Linked DNA regions of Tamandua tetradactyla. The protein of the gene in region 1 interacts with the protein of each later gene in a pairwise test. Links are inferred from orthologs where the notes say so. Each region holds a gene or a part of one and is shown on either strand. Other genes may lie near its edges.

Evidence for each region.
Region 2: the proteins of CTNNAL1 (region 1) and RNF135 interact in binary tests that used the Homo sapiens proteins (3 or more experiments, as listed by UniProt). The two-hybrid records come from large-scale screens. The link is inferred for Tamandua tetradactyla from reciprocal best matches to the Homo sapiens genes CTNNAL1 and RNF135.

What each region holds. Positions count from the first base shown.
Region 1 is NC_135328.1:27,926,139-27,936,663, forward strand, and holds the start of CTNNAL1 (alpha-catulin), read right to left. Parts: upstream 4,324-10,525; 5' UTR 4,244-4,323; coding exon 4,106-4,243; intron 1-4,105. Other genes in the region: TMEM245 (transmembrane protein 245), read right to left, coding at 10,181-10,226. UniProt on the Homo sapiens protein: May modulate the Rho pathway signaling by providing a scaffold for the Lbc Rho guanine nucleotide exchange factor (ARHGEF1).
Region 2 is NC_135332.1:49,196,871-49,206,355, forward strand, and holds the start of RNF135 (E3 ubiquitin-protein ligase RNF135), read right to left. Parts: upstream 4,039-9,485; 5' UTR 4,014-4,038; coding exon 3,651-4,013; intron 2,054-3,650; coding exon 1,924-2,053; intron 279-1,923; coding exon of another isoform or gene 233-278; coding exon 116-232; intron 1-115.

The DNA.
Region 1 (10,525 bases):
TGTACTGCATCTTTTGATGAACAGAGGTTCTTTATTATAATGGACTCAAATGCATCGATCTTTCTTTAGAATTCACACATTTTGTGTATTAAATCCTTTCCCACTATGAGGTCATGCAGATATTGCCCTATTTTCCCCCTAAAACTGTTGTACTTTCATATTCTTTAATCCATCTGGAATTGATTTTTGTGTATGGTATAAGACAGGGATCCAGTTTCATGTATTTCTATTTATATAACTAATCGTCCCAGCCCCATTTTCTAAAAGAGTCCACTCTTTCCCCACTGACCTATCATGCCATATATTCTGCCATATATCAAGTTTTCATATACGTATAGATCTGTTTCTGGGGGCTCTATTCCATTTCACTTGTCGGTTTGCCCAATTCTATTCTTAAATCCAAATTGTCTTAGCTACTGCAGTTTTATAATAAGTCTTGAATTCTGGCAAGACAAGTCCACCCACTTTGTTTCTCCCCTAGCTAATCCTGGTTCTTTGTGCTTTCATATAAATTTCAGAATTACTTTTATCAAATTCTGCATATAAGTCCTATTGAAATTTTCACTGGAAATATTTTAAATGTATAGATCAATGAGGGAAAACTGATACAGCTATAATATTGAGACAGTCTAAGCATGAATACAGTGTTTCTCTCTACTTATTTAGGTATATTTTGGCTTTCAATAAAATTTTTAAATTTTTTCCAAGAAGTCTGGAATCTTTTTGATGGATTCATATATATATATATATATATATATATATATATACACTCCTAGGAACTTTATTTTTTGTTCTATTGTTATCGTAATTGGTACCTTTTTTAGGACTTTTTTTCTGCTTGTTATTAATGTATAGAAATGCAGTTGACTTTAGTATACTACATTCAGTAAACTTGCAAAACACTCCTAAATTTGGTATTTTATTTGATTCTCTCAGCTTTTCTATGTAGATAATTATATCACAATGGGAGTTTTGAATTTTCTTTCCCATCTTTACACCTCTCCTTTTTATCTCCTTGTCTCTTTGCACTGGCCAGGATTTTCAGTGCCATGTTGAATTGAAGCTGATAACAGTTATCATCCTTCTCTTGCTAGTTTTAAAAGAAATGCTTATTTAGGACAGGTTACAGTGGCTCAGCAGGCAGAATTCTTGCCTGCGATGCTGGAGAATTCAATTCCTGGTGCCTGCCCATGCAAGAAAACAAAACAAACAAACAAACGAAAAAACCCGCTTATTTTAAATTTGGCGGTTGCTATAATGTTAACTATAGCCATTCTTTTTTAGGTTAAGGAAGTTTCCTTCTATTGCTAGTTTGTTACATGCTTTCTATCATGATAAGAAGCTGGATTCAATCTAATGCTCTTCTAGCATTTACTGATATGAACAACCTTTTATTTTCTAATCTGTGAATTCAGAATATTGTGTATGTTTTTCTATTACGGACTCAACCTTGTATTTCTGGACTAAGTGCAGTAACCCAGGACTTTTCAGGTGGAAAATCAAAAGGGGTTAAATGATATCAGAATCGAAACTGTTTAAAACTCACTGAACAGTACAATGCTAATCCTACTTGTTTTCATTAAAACCCTGTTGCTGCCAGGGCACCATTCCTACCTCTTTCATGCCTTCTCTGAGCTCTTAGCGGATTTGTCACAAATGGTGTCCATTTGACACTTGGTATGTGCTCTCCTGTGCATGTCCCATACGCCAACTAGAATACAAGTCCCTCAAAGAGCAGCAACTAGTAAGTACACCATAAATGCGTGCTATTGATGCTTAAAATTTTTTTGTGGATAAGATGGTGAAATATGAATTGGATAATAACGCAGTGTCCTTAGAAAACGAGACATCTGGACATACAAGTTTTCTAGGGAGCTACAGTTTTAATCCATAAACACTACTGAAATTTTAAAATCATTCTAAATTGTACACCACACTTTTCTACTTTGTTAACAGAGTATTCTAAACAAGCTTTTTACTATTTATTGATTCTAAGTATAATTTAAGTTTTTCTCAATGATTACAGCCAACCATTAGGAATATCAGTTATGACATTGTGGTAGAGATATAGCTGCAATACATAACAGGTGGGATGAAGAGCCTCCACTGTGGCCCTGAAAGTGGTTTTAACAGGGAAAAAAAAAAGCTGAGATTTTCCTCCTTTGGCATTGACCTCTAGTTAACTCCCAGCAGTCACACTTTTCCTCCTCCATTCTCCTAATCTCCCCACCCTTTTTACCTCAGAATTACACAATGCAGAGCTGTTGGACTGATACATTTCTAGCAGCAATGCTGTTAAAGGATACCATTTCTCCAAAGTACAGCAACCTTCCAGTTTGTTTTTCCACTGTGAGCTCTTCCTCTGCTCTGTACCGAACATTCTCTGACCTAATCATGGCTTTTAATCTCTAGAGGGGACAAGGCATATAAAGTGGCAGGCTCTGGAGGCAGGTTGTCTGGGTTCACCCAGTTTGACACTAGCTGAAGACATCTGGCAAGTTACTTTGCCTCACTATTTCTCAGTCTCCTCATCCAAAGTATGGAATGAGCATATACCTACCTCATAGGATTGTTATGAGGATTAAATGAGTTAATATTTACAAAGCGCTCAGAATATGACCTGGCTTATAGTAAGCACTACATGTGCTTTGTTAAATAAGTGCAAAAACATACTATCGACGTGTACTCTGAGGTCATCTTCTCTTAAAATGGCTCCATTATTTTCATTTTTGGTTATGACTGCAATGGTGGTGGTGCTTTTGGGGGGGGTGGGGGGAGGACGGGATGGGAGGAAGAATGCGGGGTTGCATAGACATTACTGCCGCACCCCAGCCGTCCTTCCCTCTGGTCAGCGCCTCCATCAAACAAACAGGTAGGGGGTTTCAGTGGCTATTTATTCGCTGTTCCCTTAATTCATCTTAAATGAGACTTCTAGATATAGAAGTTTTCAGGAGAGCTACAGTTTTAATCCCCTAAACACCACTGGAACTTTAAAATCGAGATTGTATTCCACAATTTCCTACTTAGATAACAGAGTATTCTAACCATACTTTTTAAATGAGCACAGGTGAGAAAAATAAGGGGTGTTTATTTAATCCACATGGCAAGAGTTTAGAGACACAGGTGACAGCTGTTTCCAAGTATCTGCAGGGCTGTGCTGGGAAAGAGGTGCCATTTAAAGTTCTATGGAACAGGCCGACTCTCACAGCTACGGCCTCCCCACCATTGCAGGCGTCTGAGCAGGGGACTCATGTCCAGGTGTCAAGGATGCTGTGAGGAAGAATATTTATATTTAGAGTCTGATATAACCACTAAGATTCCTCCTACCTCTAAATTGGCAAAACCAGCATGAGTCATAAAGATGTTATGAATCTAGCCGTGAGTCACACGTCGCCAACGCGCTCCGGCAGGTACTTAATTCTTCACTCCCCCACAACGCTTGGCACCTTACCACAGATGGAGGTGAGGAATTCTAGCCCTCAGGCTGCGGATAACTCAGCTCGAAATAATCAAAACTTTTCTAAAACTAAGCCGATCGGTTAGCCGAGTGTAGACTCACACCCCAAAACGGGACTAGGCACAAAAATGTAGGTCTGCACCGACTCTGCGACAGTCCCCAGCTCCAAGTCTCCCGAGGGGCCGGACAAAGGCATGGAGGTGAGCGCGCCGGCAGGTGAAGGGGGCGCAGAGCGGGGCCGAGCTCTCAGCGGCGGGGCAAAGGGACAAAGGCCTGGCGGCGAGCACGCCGGGCGCGGAGGTCGGAGGAAGTGCCCCCCGCCCGAGGGGCCGACGGTGCGGTTTGCACTGGGGGTGTAAAAGGGCGGCCGCCGCCGCTCCCGGAGCTGCAAGTCGGAGCGCCCCGGGGCCATCTCCGCCCCCTGGCGCGCGCTCGGCGCGGGCCGCAGCACCAAGGCGGGTCACCGGGACGCGGGGACCAGCGCGCCCCCAACCCTCAGGCGGGCACCAGGTGCCACAGGGCTCCGCACCCGGGCCGCAGTCTCCCTGCGGCTCACCCAACTGGGGGCGCAGAATGCGCGGCTGCAGCTGCCTCCCGGCCGGCGGACCCCAACCCGAGCGTGCCAGCGGCGCCGCCATCGCACTTTACCTGAGAAACCAGCGGCAGCAGCGTCTGCTCCACCGAGCGAGTTTTGATCTCGAGTCCCGAGTCGAAGGCGAAGCCTGACGGGCCGGGGACGCGGAATGCTCCGGCTCGGCCAACGGCGGCGGGAGCGGAGGCGGCCATGGCCCTCGGCTCGTTGCACAGCCCCGACTCCGCGCCACCGCAGGCCCGCAGCCCGTAGCGCGCCAACCCGCCAGCAGCGGCGGCTGGGCACCCGCTCGGTTCCCGGGACCCCGCCCCCAGACGAGAATCACCGCCCCCCGAGGCTCCACCCCTCAATCGGGTCCCACCCCCAGCCGGGCCTGACCCGCAGCCCTGCGTCCTGCACCGCCACCGAGCCCCACCTCCCCAGTGGGGCTTGACTCCCCAGTCCTGTACTCTGCGCTGCAGCCAAGGATCTGTCCTCAGCAAGGCTTCCGGTCCTTGGGATGATAGGCGACTCATCCCAAGTGAACTCCAAATTCACGCAACGATTTCTAGAAGCTGCGCTGAGGTTGAAACTGGTAGAGCAGAACCAGGGTTAATTCTATCCAGAGGGGCATGTTCCTTGGGACTGGCTTTCTACTAGGAATAAAGTCTTTCCAAGGCTTCTCTGGAAGGTCCCATTTCCCCGTCCATCCTGCTTATTTTTAGAGCCACCGGTAATAAAGCAAATATTCTAACCATATCTTTGTCACAAACACTTTGAGCCGGGTTGAAGATAAACATTTACTAATGCAATCTTTACGAAGTATCTGAGTGGTTCGGCAAGAAGATATTTGGGGATTTTTCAGGTCCCTGTTTAGAATTATTCTTCAAAAGGAAATAAAATAGAGCATATGGAAAAGCTTCATCTGCTTTTGACCACCTGCCTTTTAAAACTACTTTGCAAATTACTTTTCCCCTAGTTCCTAGCACTGAGCAGTTTCCTAATAATATTAATTGAAGTTGGTGGGGAGTATGTTGGAATTCTCTGTATGGGGTTTGTATTACTTTTTTGCACCTGTCCTGTACATTTGAAATTATTTCAAAATAAAAGTTTGTTTTTTACTTTAAGTGCAGTTTCTTTATCCAACTTTCTTCTCTGATTCTTACTCTTCAGCTACCTACCTCACCACTTCCTTAACTACCTCCAAGGCCCCTTTCCCTTGTATAGTAAGGACTCCAGCCTCAGTCTTGGACCCCCTTTAAGCACTGTAAGGTTCCCAGCATCCACTCCCAAGACACACCTTTCCTTATGTAAGTTGACCATATTTCAAAAAACCTCAGTTGTGGGAACTGGTGCCAAAGAAAAGGCAAAACATAAGGCCCAGGACAGACAGATGAATTCATGAAAGTTCAGTTTCACTAAAGATCAAATTTCCCAACAGAAATAAGACTGTTTACCATGTGATTCATTCAACACTATTAATTTTATTTCAAAATATAAATATTTTACATTTACAAAGAAGTTACATCAGTGGGTTGTCAACGCAAGTTAAAGCTAAGAAACAGCATCTGTGTGAGAATAAGGAATATTTATTGTTTCATTTGAATATTCTTTTTACTTTCAAACCATCTCCACTTTGCCTGAGAATGCCAATCAATACAATTTCCAAAAGTAACAACAATTACAACTATATATATATATATCCCATCTTGATTTCAAAATCAAATGATATTTGCAAATACATTCTAGTCATCTAAATAAGTGGCACTGCGAAGGACAACAGAAGGGTTTTCTTTGGGTTAGCTACAGAAAGAGTTGCACTTTCTGGGCCATGGCAATAGAAAAGAAATGGTAGTTGATAATAAGTCAAAATAATGTTACTTTAAAATTTACTTCCACACCTTTCATTATATATAAAATATAAAGTTAGGAAAAAATAAAAAAGAGACTAGGTATGGAAGAGAGACTTCTGGACTTGGAGTCAGAAGTCCTACATATAAATTCTGGCTCCATCACTTTATGGTATAAACTTAAGGGGGGAAAAAAACATCACCAAAAAAACTTGAAAGCCTTCAGTGTATCCTTCTCATCTGTACAATGACAGAAATACTTAACGCCTGCCTGCCTCACAGGGTTGTTATGAAAGCAGTCTGAAAATTATTAAGTGCCATTAAAAACCATTATTAAAATGTAATATCAATGTACCATTACCGTATTTGCAAATTAATTGATCTTTGAAAAACTTACAAAACTAATCAAATACTGATTTTACACACCATAGGTGGAAAAGAATCTCTATACTGTAAAAGTATAGTGCTGAATTGCAAATATGCTCTCCTCTCTCAACTGTCTCACTAAACTCTGAGATTTACTAAAGATTACATGGTACCATGGTAACAGATTTTCTATTAAGTATTTCTATTGGGGATGTTTCTAAAAGGGCAGGGCGGGCCACAGTGGCTCAGTGGCAGAGTTCTCGCCTACCATTCCAGAGACCCAAGTTCAATTCCCAGTGCCTGCCCATGCAAAAAAAAAAAAAAAACCTAATTAAAAGGGCTGTGTAAACCCACTCTAGAGCCATGTTTCCCAAAGGACCAAAAATTGTTTGAGATGAGAAAAGGAGGAGGGGGGCGCAGTTTAAGGTCAAACAAGTCTAGTAAACACAGTCTTTGTCCCCTCTTACAAATTCACAGTAATAGCATGTTAAAAACTCTTAGAAGTCCTACAGAAAGGAAGCAAACTCAGCATTCCTCAATTTTAATTGACCATGGAGTACCTTTCCCACCCACCACCCACCCCACTTTTTACCTCTTATAACATCTGTAAGAATCCCTTGGAACTAGTGCAACTAGTTTCTTAAAAACTCAGTTTGCCAAATGCTGCTCAACTACCAGGAAAAGGGAAGAGAACAATGGACTGGGAGAAAAATAATTACATTCTACTTAGAATTCTGTTACTAACTGGCTGTGTGTTAGATAAGTCACTTTAACCCATGAATTTGTTTCCTTCTTCAGAAAATGACAGGATCATCTAATTATAGAAGGCTCTTTCCAGCTCAGAATTTCTGACTCCAGGAGGCAGACAATCATCTTAAATTTGATTTCTCTTGCTGATTTTTAAACTACTGAAAAATAACTGCTTAGTGGTTTCAAATACTATATGTATTTCTTGCAGGTCCTCAATATGTTAATGAAATGAATATATTTTGATGGCAATAAGTGTAAAGACAAGGCATTGATAAAAATAAAAGGTACTCATTCTTAACTGGAACTAGCATTTGGAAGTATATGGCCAGAGGCTATTTCTACTGTGAAATGTGCCTTCCAAGTCCCACCGAAATACTCCTGTAAGGGTCTCTGAAGACCTTTAACCAGGACTGAAAGGTGAGGTCTAGTCAGTTTACCTCAAACTACTTTTCTCTAATCTAACCTCTGATGGCCTGAATCTTTGAGTATTTCATTTCTTGCCCAGTGCTGACACATTCCTGAAGCACTAATACAACCAGGCAGAACTAGAGGAACAAAGAAATCCTGAGGGTCACATGGTGTCATGTTGAGACCATGGTTAGAGAAGACCTCATCTGCAAGCCCTTTAGCTGTCCTTTACCTGGAAAAAACAGCTGTCCCTTCCTAAGGCTACAGAGTTTTGAAATACATTGCTTCCATAACACTTCTTGTTATCCTCCCACTGTCAAGGGTCATATCACGCCAGTCTCTAAAATAAGGGGAGAACACTGCTAGCTAATCAACTTGCATGGAGAAGGGTACCAGGAACCCTTGCAATTTTAAAAAATAAGTAAGACCGGCATTTAAGGCAGTCTAACAGTGATCACTTCCATAACTGAGAGTATATTAAGAATTTTGGTACTCAAACAACAATTAAATTACATAGAGACTCTGCTGAAAATCCCATGCCCTGTTGTTTTTCAGAGAGAGATGTAGGGACACTTTCCCTAGCTAGTCAATATTCCCATTCCTGGCACTGCCACTGGAGTACTGGGCAGTTTAAGTTTCCTGACCTTTTTGTGGCACTCTGGGGCACTTCCGCTACTAATATTTCAGGGTGACATGGCATCAGTGCAGCTAATTTTGGCAGCTCTAAAGTAATCTCTTAGGGCTTGGAGTTCCCCTCTAAGAACCCAGTATCTGTACCAATAATTGTGCCCAGCAACAGATATACATGAGCTCAACTTTAGTTTCTTGCAATATCACTTTGACAGCTAAAAGCACTTTGGAGGAACATGGTTTTGATGTTCACACTAATTCACTGTGCACAATGTTTGCCTCTTATTAAAACATGCTCATTACTGCTATAAATTTATCAGTATACAATTAACAACAACAAAAAAACCTGATTTCTTTTTTAACCCTTTCAATAGCTTTTTAAAAATTTATTTATTTACTTAGCATTAAACACAATCAGGCTAATATTTTAGGTCTGAGAAGCCTTCTCATGAGTTATCCCCATAGAACCCTGCATAGTACCTGGCCTAGAACCTACAGTTCAGCCAATGAGAATAGAATGAATTACTCAGTAGCCAAATATTCACATGATGGAATGTCAGATTATAATTTCTGAAGAATTCATAATAAAAATAAGAGGTCTGCATGCAGTCTAGTAGATAAACCATCAAATGAGCTGTTTTCCAGATGGAAATGTTTTTATTAAGTAGTATCAGAACACATTTGAGCTCATTATTATCAACTGTACTTCTTAGAAAGAATGTGTTTTAGAAAAAAATATCTCTACTTTAAAATGTTTTGTCAAAAGGAAACCTGTACTCATACTTATGAACCCCTTTCTCCCCCATATTCCCTTAGGCTGAGGAAGGCCTGATGATTGCTTTATACAGTGGAAAGGACACAATGCTAAAAGCTGGATTTGAGTCTCAGCCCTGTCATTAATCATAGGACGTGCTTTAAATTCATTCATAAGAAATGGATAGCAACAGCTATTCTATCTCATAGCACTGGAAAAATTGCATAATATATTGAATAAGACTTGAGGTCCAATCTTACTAACATGACTTTAAGTTAATCACTTAACTTTTCTGATCCTTAGCCTATTTGTGTAAAACTGATTTTAAAATTAGGTGAAACTATATGAAAGCTGATAGGAAGGAATTGTGAAAAAACAGGCAAAAGGGCTTAGTAAAATGTGAAGCATTATGTTGTTTATTTTAATATCTAAGACATTGGAAAAGTTATAATTTAATTCAACAAGCATTCATTTAGTGTCTCATGTGCAGAGCACTGTGCTGTGTGATAGAAAAATTCAACAGAAATATAAAATTCTACTACCAATAAGTAACTAATTGGCAGGACTCCAAATATTGAAACAGAGATACATTTAATAAATTAGAGTACTATTACACCTGAGATTTTTCACTTAAAATATTTGGGGAGGAAAAAAACCTATAATCATAGCATGAATTCTATCATATTGTTAGCATTAATAGCAGCTTAATAAGTACTTTGCTTCAATGTGGGCAGCCAAGTTTTAGGAAGTTGGCAATGGTGTAATGGGAATAGAGGGAGAGTGGAGAGGAAAAGAGCTTCAGTCTTTGCGCCTTCTACAGTTACAACTGAACCTCCCTCTCCAATAAGCTATCCAATGACGAGATTTTTTTCTTAAAGAGGGGAAGATACAGAATGGGAGAAAGGGAGAAAATTCATTTTTCCTGTTCACACAGCTACACACTAGAAATGACTCTTCAATGAAAAGCGACTGTCATAGAAAAGTTTAAGAACAGATTTCTTAAACTGGAGAAAATTACATGGTATATACTTTTAACAGCAGGTAGTTCAGCGCTCTTAAAATAACCTTATAAATATATATAATAATATAGATAACCAAGGTGGAAAAATTTCAAGTCATGGTACCAGTGTATAAATTAAAACTTTTCAAGCCATCTTAGTAACACTGAAGTGAGAAAGCCACATATTTCAGAGCTCTAAGGCTGTGTTTTAAAATGAAAAGGAGCCCACAGCAAGTTCTCTCTTGTCCAGGCTTTATGAATGTAAGGCCAAGAGGCTTCTGCTTCTTTCCTGGGCTCTGCTTGATAGGCACCACCGAAAGGACAGAAAATCATAGCCGAGCTGAACTCACTGTCAGTTGAACTTCCTGGAGAAATCATACCAGTGGAAGTCACGTTAGTCCACTGAAGATTTCAGATCTTCGGAAATGTCACGGAAAGTCCTATAAGAAGAAAAGATGAAATGATCAGTTTTACTTTTGGAAAGCCAGGGGGACCATAGAGACACGTTAAAAATATAAAAAGATCTATCCAATTAATTATCAATCTTATTTTTATAATTTTTGAGAGTCTTAATGAGGTTATATAGTCACTATTTTTCCTTACTATTTTCACCACATATTGTTTTCAAAGTCTGTTAGTTGTCCGTCATTCTTAAGTAATAAGAACCCCAGTTTTCTGCTGCGCCCATTGTCTCCCATCCAAAAAACTATTTCCCCAGACTCTAAAAATTCATAAAGTA
Region 2 (9,485 bases), on another chromosome or scaffold:
CAGTAACAAAGCCATGCTCTGAGATCCTGTCATCAAAGAACAAGGCTATGGAGCACTTTGCTCTTTCACCCAAACTTCCAGAATTAATCCTTCTCCACCAAATAAACCGACTCACCCTGTGTTTGTTCTTCAAGAGCCTCTTTCCACACGATGTTTTCTCGTAATTTCTTCTGGATTTCTTCTAGGGCATTAAGAATGTCTCTCATTTCACCTTCAGATGTTTTGGAAGGCACTGGTTTGGGAGGAGTCAAGGAAAGGTCCATCCCACAAGAAAAAGCCTATTGATCAATCATTAAAAAATAAATAAATGGAAGTCCCTGGTGGAATCCATCAAATATTATATTCAAGTTCTACCATCCACCTGCAATTTCCCATTTACCTCTTAACAAGTTTTTAATTAAGCCCTCAAAATGTGTGAATTGAAAACAATCTGGAATAATATATAGGACAGCAAAAATATCAAAGAATGGTTATTTCAGGATGGTGGGGTTATGATGACTTTATTTTTGTTCTTTAAACTGCTACATATTTTCTAATATTGTGTATAATGAACATAGATTCCTTAGGTAATGCCAAAAAGTGTTTAAAAATGTTTGGCCCATCTTTTGGGGGCTTTATAGTGGTCACTGAGATAAGATTCAGAGGCCAGAATAATAATATTTCCCAACTGTTGTTTTATCATGCCGCCTCTCGAGAGCTAATGTGAACATGTTGCCTACATTCAGACCCTGCTTTCCATTTTTCTTTACTGTTTTCTTTTAACTTCAGATCCAATTATCCCCCAGTATAGCTTCTCACCTGCTTCCCAACTTTGCATATACGACCCATTTCCCATTCTCTCCACCAATGACAGTAGTAGACATCACCTAGTCAGAGCTTTCCACATGCTAGGTACTGCTCATCTCTAATTTGCGTAACAATCTTATAAGGTAGATGAAATTATCCCCATTTTACAGAAGAAGCTGAGGTTCATGGAGGTTAGCTAAATCTTCTTATTTAATAATATCATCCTACATCTTCACATTGCTTATACAAGAATTCCTTTAATCCTTACGACAAATCCGTGAAGTGGCAGGCCATGTGTCATTCCTATTTTACAGGTAGGAACCTGACACGCAGAAGGATGAAGCGACTTGCCCAAGGTGATAATACTCATGAGTGGCAAAGTCACAGTCAGGTCTGAAAGTCAGACCCTCAGACTTTTCACCCTAACACACTGTATCCCTGAAGACCACCCAGTCATTCATCCATTCATTTAGTAGTTATTTGTCAGGTACCTACTATATGCCAAGCACTGTGTTAGGGCGCCTGGGGATATAATAGTGAAAAAAGAACAAAAGCGGTCAGGTCAAGGTCCCTTCCCTTGTGGAGTTTATATTCCAGTGGGTACAAAGTTATGCCTGGGATAATGGCTACAAATGAAAGGTACATGGAATCAGAAGGACTTCTGATGGGGAGATTTGACTTGTTCAAGGAAATCAGCAAAGGTTTGCCTGAGGAAGGGTGCTGAAGGACAAACAGATGTTACCCAGACAGGTTGTGAGACTTGCGTCCACAGACTAAAGGAAGAGAGAGCTTAGAGTGGGAAGGTGTGGGCTACTGTGTCAAATACTGAGATCAGTGAAGGTAAGGGCCAGGTTGCCTGTAGGATGTATCTGCAGGTCACTGGTGACCTCTGAGAAGCACCTTAAGTGGAATGATGAGGATGGAACCTAGACCACTTGAAGTTTCCCACCTTTACTTCAAGCATTCTGTATTTCCAACTGTCCATGTTTGCTAGTAATCGTTCCATGGTGAAAGATCAAGATACATTGCATCCTTCAACTGCAAACATATTCAGGTGTCCCAGTCAGAAATGACCTCTAGCCCCACCCCCTTGCACATCCTCTCCTCTCCCAGCTGAGAGGACAGTGCCTAGGATACGTGGTTCGTCGGCTGGCCCAGGTTCTGAGAGAGGGCTCTGGCTCTGAAGCCTCCTGACGATATGCACAAGCTGCTCCACCAGCTCTGCCAGCTCCAGACCAACGTCTGTGCTATTCTTCTGTGCTACCACCTTTAAGAGCAAAATCAGAACATACAACTGGACCCTGCACCAAGCACTTGACAGACGGAGCCATAAACACAGGATAAAGGAAGAGACGAAAGATGAAAGAACTATTGTACAGAACGTGAGGAGGGGAGCTCCCTAAACCTTTTGCATCCTGATTTCCCTCTACTGATCTTCCAGTGGCCTTAACAGGGTACCCTAGTTCATCCCAGGAATGGGGAATGAGAGCTAAGGAAAACCCACCAGTTATTTTGTGCAGAGGAGGATAGAGAGAACATAGGGTGCAGAGAGCCTGAAGATTTCGGAGGGCAGGCAGAGCCAATCAGGTGAGTGGTACAATGGAAGGCATTTGGCTCAGGCTGGAGCATCTGTGTCCTTCAAAAATGGTGACAATCCTGGCCTCTCCTCTTCCTTAGTGAAAAGGATCAGCCTAACTATTTCTTGTGAAAGCATCTTGGAGATTTTAAAGGGTTTCAAAGAGTTTCCCAGATGGAAGCTCTTTTAGTTTGTTTACTGACATCTCTGACATTTAAAGAAACACTCAGATAAGCATGCCAAATAACTCCACTTAAGAGCTTAATCTGCTCAGCTGACTGGTTGGGGATGGGAATAAGTTTCGCATCTGTCGAAGGCATCAAGACCTGGTGACACTCAGAAGCTGGGCCCCGACCTCAATGGAGAACTCTGTATCACCTCCAAAAGGGTCCTACACAGAGAATCACAGAAATACAAGAGGATGTTCATCATCTAACTCTAAATAAGCCAGAGTTTTTATAACTTCGTTTCGGCATTTTTCATTTTTAAAATTATGCTGGGACCTCAGAAACTGAAATCGACCCAGGACCTTTTTCATATCTAAGAAACCCTGATGACCTCAAAGGAGCAGGTGTTCTGGAAGCCATAATCAGGCTATTTTATAGAGAGAAGTGGCCAAGTATTGTCAAGGCTCTTCGCTCTTAAATTTCCAGGCTCAATCCTAAATATCAGGCATTTGAAACTCTGAGATGGAGCCCTTATGCAGGCACACGGACAAATTCACAACTTTTTGAAATAAGTGCATTCCTTATTTCATCCATAAAGAAATATACACACGTGGTGAATTTGGAAATTCAAATTCCAAAGAAAGCAAGAAAGGAGAAATGTTTTTTACATCATCTAATATCCTACCACCCAAAGACAATCACTTTAATTTAAAAGCCAAAGGGAAGTATATTCAGTCACTAAAATCTATGTTTACAGAGCTTTACAGGCCTGAGGGATAATACAGTATTTATGATGAAAAAGAAGAGGACAAATCCCGGTTGTACAATGCTATCTCAACTCTATTTTTTTTTTAATGAGCAAAAGCTGGAGAGTCGGGGAAACAGGCCAAAGTGTATGGCAGCTATTGTTGTGGTAGGATTGCTTTTCTTTTTCTGCTTCTTTATCCTTTTCTGAACTTTCCAAAGATTCTCCAACGAGTGGGTTCTATTTTAGATTGAGAAAAGTAATGTAAAAGTAGAAAGGATGGAAGAGTAACTCAAGAGGGGTAGTAGTGGCGAACCAAGTGGTCGGAAAGGTTGGAGCCAGAGAAGAGCTGCGGAATCCACCGCCCTACCCGCACCTGTGCGCGGTGGCTCGGGGACCCCGGGGCTGGGCCGGGTCCTGGAACTGGCTCAGGGCTGGGGGCCCGGCCGGGACCCGCCTCCAGCTCGCGCACGGCTCGGCTGTACTTGTCGGCCAGGTCCTGCAGCAGCGTGTTCTTCCCCAGCCGCGGCTGCTGCGCCGCGCCCTGGCGGCAGGTGGGGCAGGACCAGCGGCGCCCCGCGCCCGACGCGCCCCACAGGCCGTCCAGGCAGGCGCGGCAGAAGCTGTGGCCGCAGGGCAGCGTAGCGGGACAGTTGAGGAGACCGTGGCAGATGATGCAGCCCAGGTCGTCCTCGGTCAACCACACCGGGACAGCGGCAGCCGGGCCGAAGCCCGCCATGTTGACCCAGCCGCGGCTGGGACGCGAGGACGCGGAAGTCAGGGCTCAGCCGGGGACCGCCCCGCCCAAAGTCATTTCTCCGCTGGCTCCTCCCTCGCTCTTCCTCTCTCGTCTCCTTCCCCCTTGCGTGGTCTCCTTCTTGTTCCGGTCCTTCCGGTTTTCTTTTCTCGGCTTCTGCAGAAACCTACTTATTCCTTCGGGAGAGTTGAGCCTCAGTTACTGCCTCCTGCAATGGCAATTCAGCTCGTCCCCCACCGCTAGGAACCCAGTGATGTCCTCATTAAAATGCAATCCCGACAAATCTTGGGAGAAGAAAAAAGAGAATTTCGGATTCAAGAACTCAGTTTTGAGAATACGCCCACTAGGTGACATCCAGCGCCTCTAACGAGCAATAAGGGATTAAGGAATACCCGAAGCGCATCAAGTTGCAGCCCTTTAAAATTATCGATATTCAGGGCTCACCGGGACACTCTGATTTCAATCTCTGGGGTGGAGCCCCAGCATGGGTATTTTTAACCTCCCCCTCTTCCCCAAATTATTCAAGGTGCAGCTGGAACCACGAAAGTATTTAATGAGATACTAACCAAAAAAAAAAAAAAAGAGAGAGAGAGAGAGAGAACAAGGGAGGTGTCCATCCAAAGTGATCTTTTATTTTTTTTTAATTTTTATTGCTATGTATTCACATGTCATTTAAACATCCAAAGTGTAGAGTCAATGGTTCACAATATCATCATATAGCTGTGCATTTATCATCACAATTGACTTATTTTTTTGTGAAAAATAACATATATACAAAAAAGCAATAAATTTCAAAGCAACAATTAGTTGTAGAACAGATTTCAGAGTTTGTTTTGGGTTACCATGCCACTATTTCAGATTTTTCCTTCTAGCTGCTCCAAAACATTGAAGGTTAGAAGGAATATGTATTTTTCATTTTTGTGAAAAATAACATGTATAACAAAAAGCAATGGATTTCAAAGCACACTGCAACAATTAGTTGTTGAACTGATTTCAGAGTTTAGTATGAGTTACAATTCAACACTTCCAGGTTTTTAATTCTAGCTGCTCCGAGACACTGGAGGCTAAAAGAAATATCAATATGATTCCACAATCATACTCGTTTGTTAAACCCTACCTTCTCTGTGTAACTCCACCATCACCTTTGATTTTTCTCCCACTCTTTAGGGGTGTTTGGGCTATGCCTATTCTAGGACCCCACGGCTTTTTAAATCGCTGTTCCAGTGCAGATTGTGCTGTTGTCTCTTTATTGCTCCTTATTGCCCTCTGCTGGCTGAAAGCACGTTACCCAACAGTCATCCAGACTAACATAGAAAGTCTGTCTTGAGATATAGCACGCCTTGCCTCCCCCCCGCTCCTTTTATTCCGGTCCTAAACCTTTAGAACCAAAAACATTAGAGCTGGAAGAACATCATATCCTCACCCAAAGACGTGGAGTAGTTAAGGAACTTCCAAGCTTGCATAGCAATAACTGAAATAACTGAGTGGCAGAGGCCAGAATCCAGATTTCTTGGATATGGTGGAATGAACTAACAGTATTTTATGTTTTATTTTACGCCATCTTGCCTAGGCTCGAAGCAGGTACCAGATATACAAATTTGTGCCTATTTCAAATACCGGAAGTGGCATGTAGTAGTCAGTGCTGTTCATCAAAGTTTCCAACTCTTCCTTTCCTTAGGACATAGAAGGTTTGGCAGTTCTCTGACTTGTTTGAAACATACAGAAGTAATACATGTTACTTCTCATCAGCTTTAAAAGCTAATGAAGAAGTCATTGCATCCCTTTCAGGAGACTGCCATGAGTATGGCTAAGATGAGCAGAACTTCTGCCATCCCACATTAGGATATGTACTAAGAGAGAGAAATAAACTTGTGATGTGTTAAGCTTACTGAGAGCCATTGGCTGCTTGTTGCTGCAGCACAACCTAGCTACCCTGACTGACATTTTATCTGATTCTGTAAATTCACAGCTTGTCAGTATCTCTTTTCTTTCCTGTTAAGTAGGCATGATACCAAGCACTTAAACATGCTCGAATCTCTTCCATCTTAAAGATAAATCTCCTTTATGAAATAGAACAAATGTATGCCACTATTATAAGGAGTTAATAATATGGGGGGAAATGCACCTATTAAAAACTATGGGCCATAGTTAACAGTAATATTTTAATATACTTTCATCAACAGTAACAAAAGTAAAACACCAGTATTAGTGATCAATAATAGCAGGAAAAAGGGTATGGAGTGTTTGGGTATTTTGTGATAATGAAAATATTCTAAAATTGATTGTGGGCGATGAATGCACAACTATGTGATAATACTGTGAACCATTGATTGTCAATGTCCATTTGTGTCCCTGCTTTCAGTTCCTCTGAATATATACCTAGTAATAGGATTGCTGGATCATACGGCAGTTCTGCATTTAGTTTTCTGAGGAGCCACCAAATTGCCTTCCAGAACGGTTGCACCACTCTACATTTCCACCAACAGTAAATGAGTGTACTATTTCTCCACCTCCTCTCAGCACTTGTGATTTTTTGTTTGTTTGTTTTTTTAATGGCCATTTCCTGTAGGTGTGAGATGCTGTTGGAATGAAATATACCAGAAATGGATTGGCTTTCACAAAGGCGATTTATTAGCTTACAAATTTACAGTTCTAAGGCCATGAAAGTGTCCAAATTGGGACATCCAGAGAAAGATACCTTCATTTTGAAGAAAGATACCTTCACTTTGAAGAAAGATCACCAGTATCTAGAACACCTCTGTCAGTTGGGAAGGCGCATGACTGGCATCTGCTGCTCCTTGCTCCCAGTTCATTGCTTTCAGCTTCTGATTCCAGTGGCTTTCTCTCTAAGCGTCTGTGGGTTCTCACTTAGCTTCTCTGGGGCAGACTGTGGATTGCATCTCTTAATTTAGCATCTCCAAACATCTGTGTCTTGATTTCTTCTCTCTGCTCTCTGTGTCAGCTACCAGCAATCTCTATGTTTCTGCCTTTTATTCTCTTCATACAGAGCTCCAATAAAAGGATTAAGACCTGAATAGACAGGTCCCCATCTCCATCTAATCAAAAGATACCAACCACAATGGGATGAGTCATATTTTCATGGAAAAAATCTATTCAAAAGGTTCCACCCACCAATGGGTCTGCCCCAACAAGACTGGATTAAAAGAACATGGATTTTCTGAGGTACATAACAGCTTCGAACAAGCACAGATGATTTCTCATTGTTTTTTTTTTTTTTTAACTTTTTTTATTAATTAAAAAAATTAACAAACAAAACATCAAGATGTCATTCCATTCTACATATACAATCAGTAATTCTTAATATCATCGCATAGTTTCATATTCATCATTTCTTAGAATATTTGCATCGATTTAGAAAAAGAAATAAAAAGACAATAGAAAAAGAAATAAAATGATAACGGAGAAAAAAAAAAAAGGTTATACATACCGTACCCCTTACCCCTCGCTTTCATTTACCACTAGCATTTCAAACTAAATTTATTTTAACATTTGTTCCCCCTATTATTTATTTTTATTCCATGTGTTCTACTCTTCTGTTGATATAGTAGCTAAAAGGAGCATCAGACACAAGGTTTTCACATTCACAGAGTCTCATTGTGAAAGCTATATCATTGTTCAATCATCATCAAGAAACATGGCTACTGGAACACAGCTCTACATTTTCAGGCAGTTCCCTCCAGCCTCTCCATTACATCTTGAATAACAAGGTGATATCTACTCAATGCGTAAGAATAACCTCCAGGATAACCTCTTGACTCTGTTTGGAATCTCTCAGAATTTCTCCCCACTCTCACCATTCCCCGAAGGGGGCTTGCAAATACTTTTCCAGTAACTGATCAAATCACTCTGGGATTCATCGGGGCAGCACTCTGGACAAACCAACAAAATCTCATGTCCTACCTGAGATTCCAAGTACTTACGACATTCGATCAAACTATCTACATGAGTTATATTAGGAAACGCGCTAGTCAAAATATAAATTTTGTAACAAATAAACATTTTTTGCTTTAGTCTCACACATAAGGTGACATTTTAAAGTATTAATTATCATCTGTTTTCAGCACCCTGCAATAATGACATTCCTTTGTTCTTCCTCATGCAAAAACATTTTTAAAATTTGTACATTGTACATTCCACTATTATTATACACTCTAGGCATTCCTAGATTATACCATCTCAATCTTTACCATCTTTCTTTCTTTCTGATTTCATTTATGTCCCCAGCCCTCCTCCCTCTATCATTCTCACATGCAACTTCATTCAGTGTTTTAATATAATTACATTACAGTTAGGTAGTATTGTGCTGTCCATTTCTGCGTTTTTATAGTCAGTCCTGTTGCACAATCTTTATCCCTTCAGCTCCAATTACCCAATATCTCACCCTATTTCTGTCTCCTGATGGTCTCTGTTACCAAGGAAATATTCCAAGTTTATTCACGAATGTCAGTTCATATCAGTGAGACCACACAGTATTTGTCCTTTTGTTTCTGGCTAATCACACTCAGCATAATGTCCTTAAGGTCCATTCATGTTGTTACATACTTCATAACTTTATTCTGTCTTACAGCTGCATAATATTCCATCTTATGTAAATGTCACAGTTTGTTTAGTCAACTGTCTGTTGATGGACATTTTGGCTGTTTCCATCTCTTGGTAATTGTTAATAATGCTGCTATAAACATTGGTGTGTAAATGTCCATTTGTGTCCTTGGCCTCGTATCCTTTGAGTAGAGACAGCATATAGATGGGTCCTGTTTTTAAATCCATTCTTCCAGACTATGTCTTTTGATTGGAGAGTTTAATCCATTAACATTCAGTGTTATTACTGCATGGGTAGTACTTTCTTCTACTATTTTGCCTTCTGGATTTTATATATGATATCTAATTTTCCTTCTTTTTACCTTTACTCATAGTCTTCCTTTCTACACTCTTCTCCACACCTCTCTCTTCTGTCTTCGTATCTGTCTCTAGTGTTCCCTTTAGTATTTCTTGCAGAGCTGGTCTCTTGGTCACAAATTCTCTCAGTGATTTTTTGTCTGAAAATGTTTTAATTTCTCCCTCATTTTTGAAGGACAGTTTTGCTGGATATAGAATTCTTGGTTGGCAGTTTTTCTCTTTTTTTCTCTTTTCTCTTCTTGCCTCCATGGTTTCTGCTGAGAGATCTGTGCATAGTCTTATTGGGCTTCCCTTGTATGTGATGGATTTCTTTTCTCTTGCTGCTTTCAAGATCCTCTCTTTCTCTTTGACCTCTGACATTCTGATTATTAAATGTCTTGGAGTATGTCTATTTGGATCTCTTCTCTTTGGGGTATGCTGCACTTCTTGGATCTGTAATTTTAAGTCTTTCATAAGAGTTGGGAAATTTTCAGTACTAATTTCCTCCATTAGTTTTTCTCCTCCTTTTCCCTTCTCTTCTCCTTCTGGGATCATTGT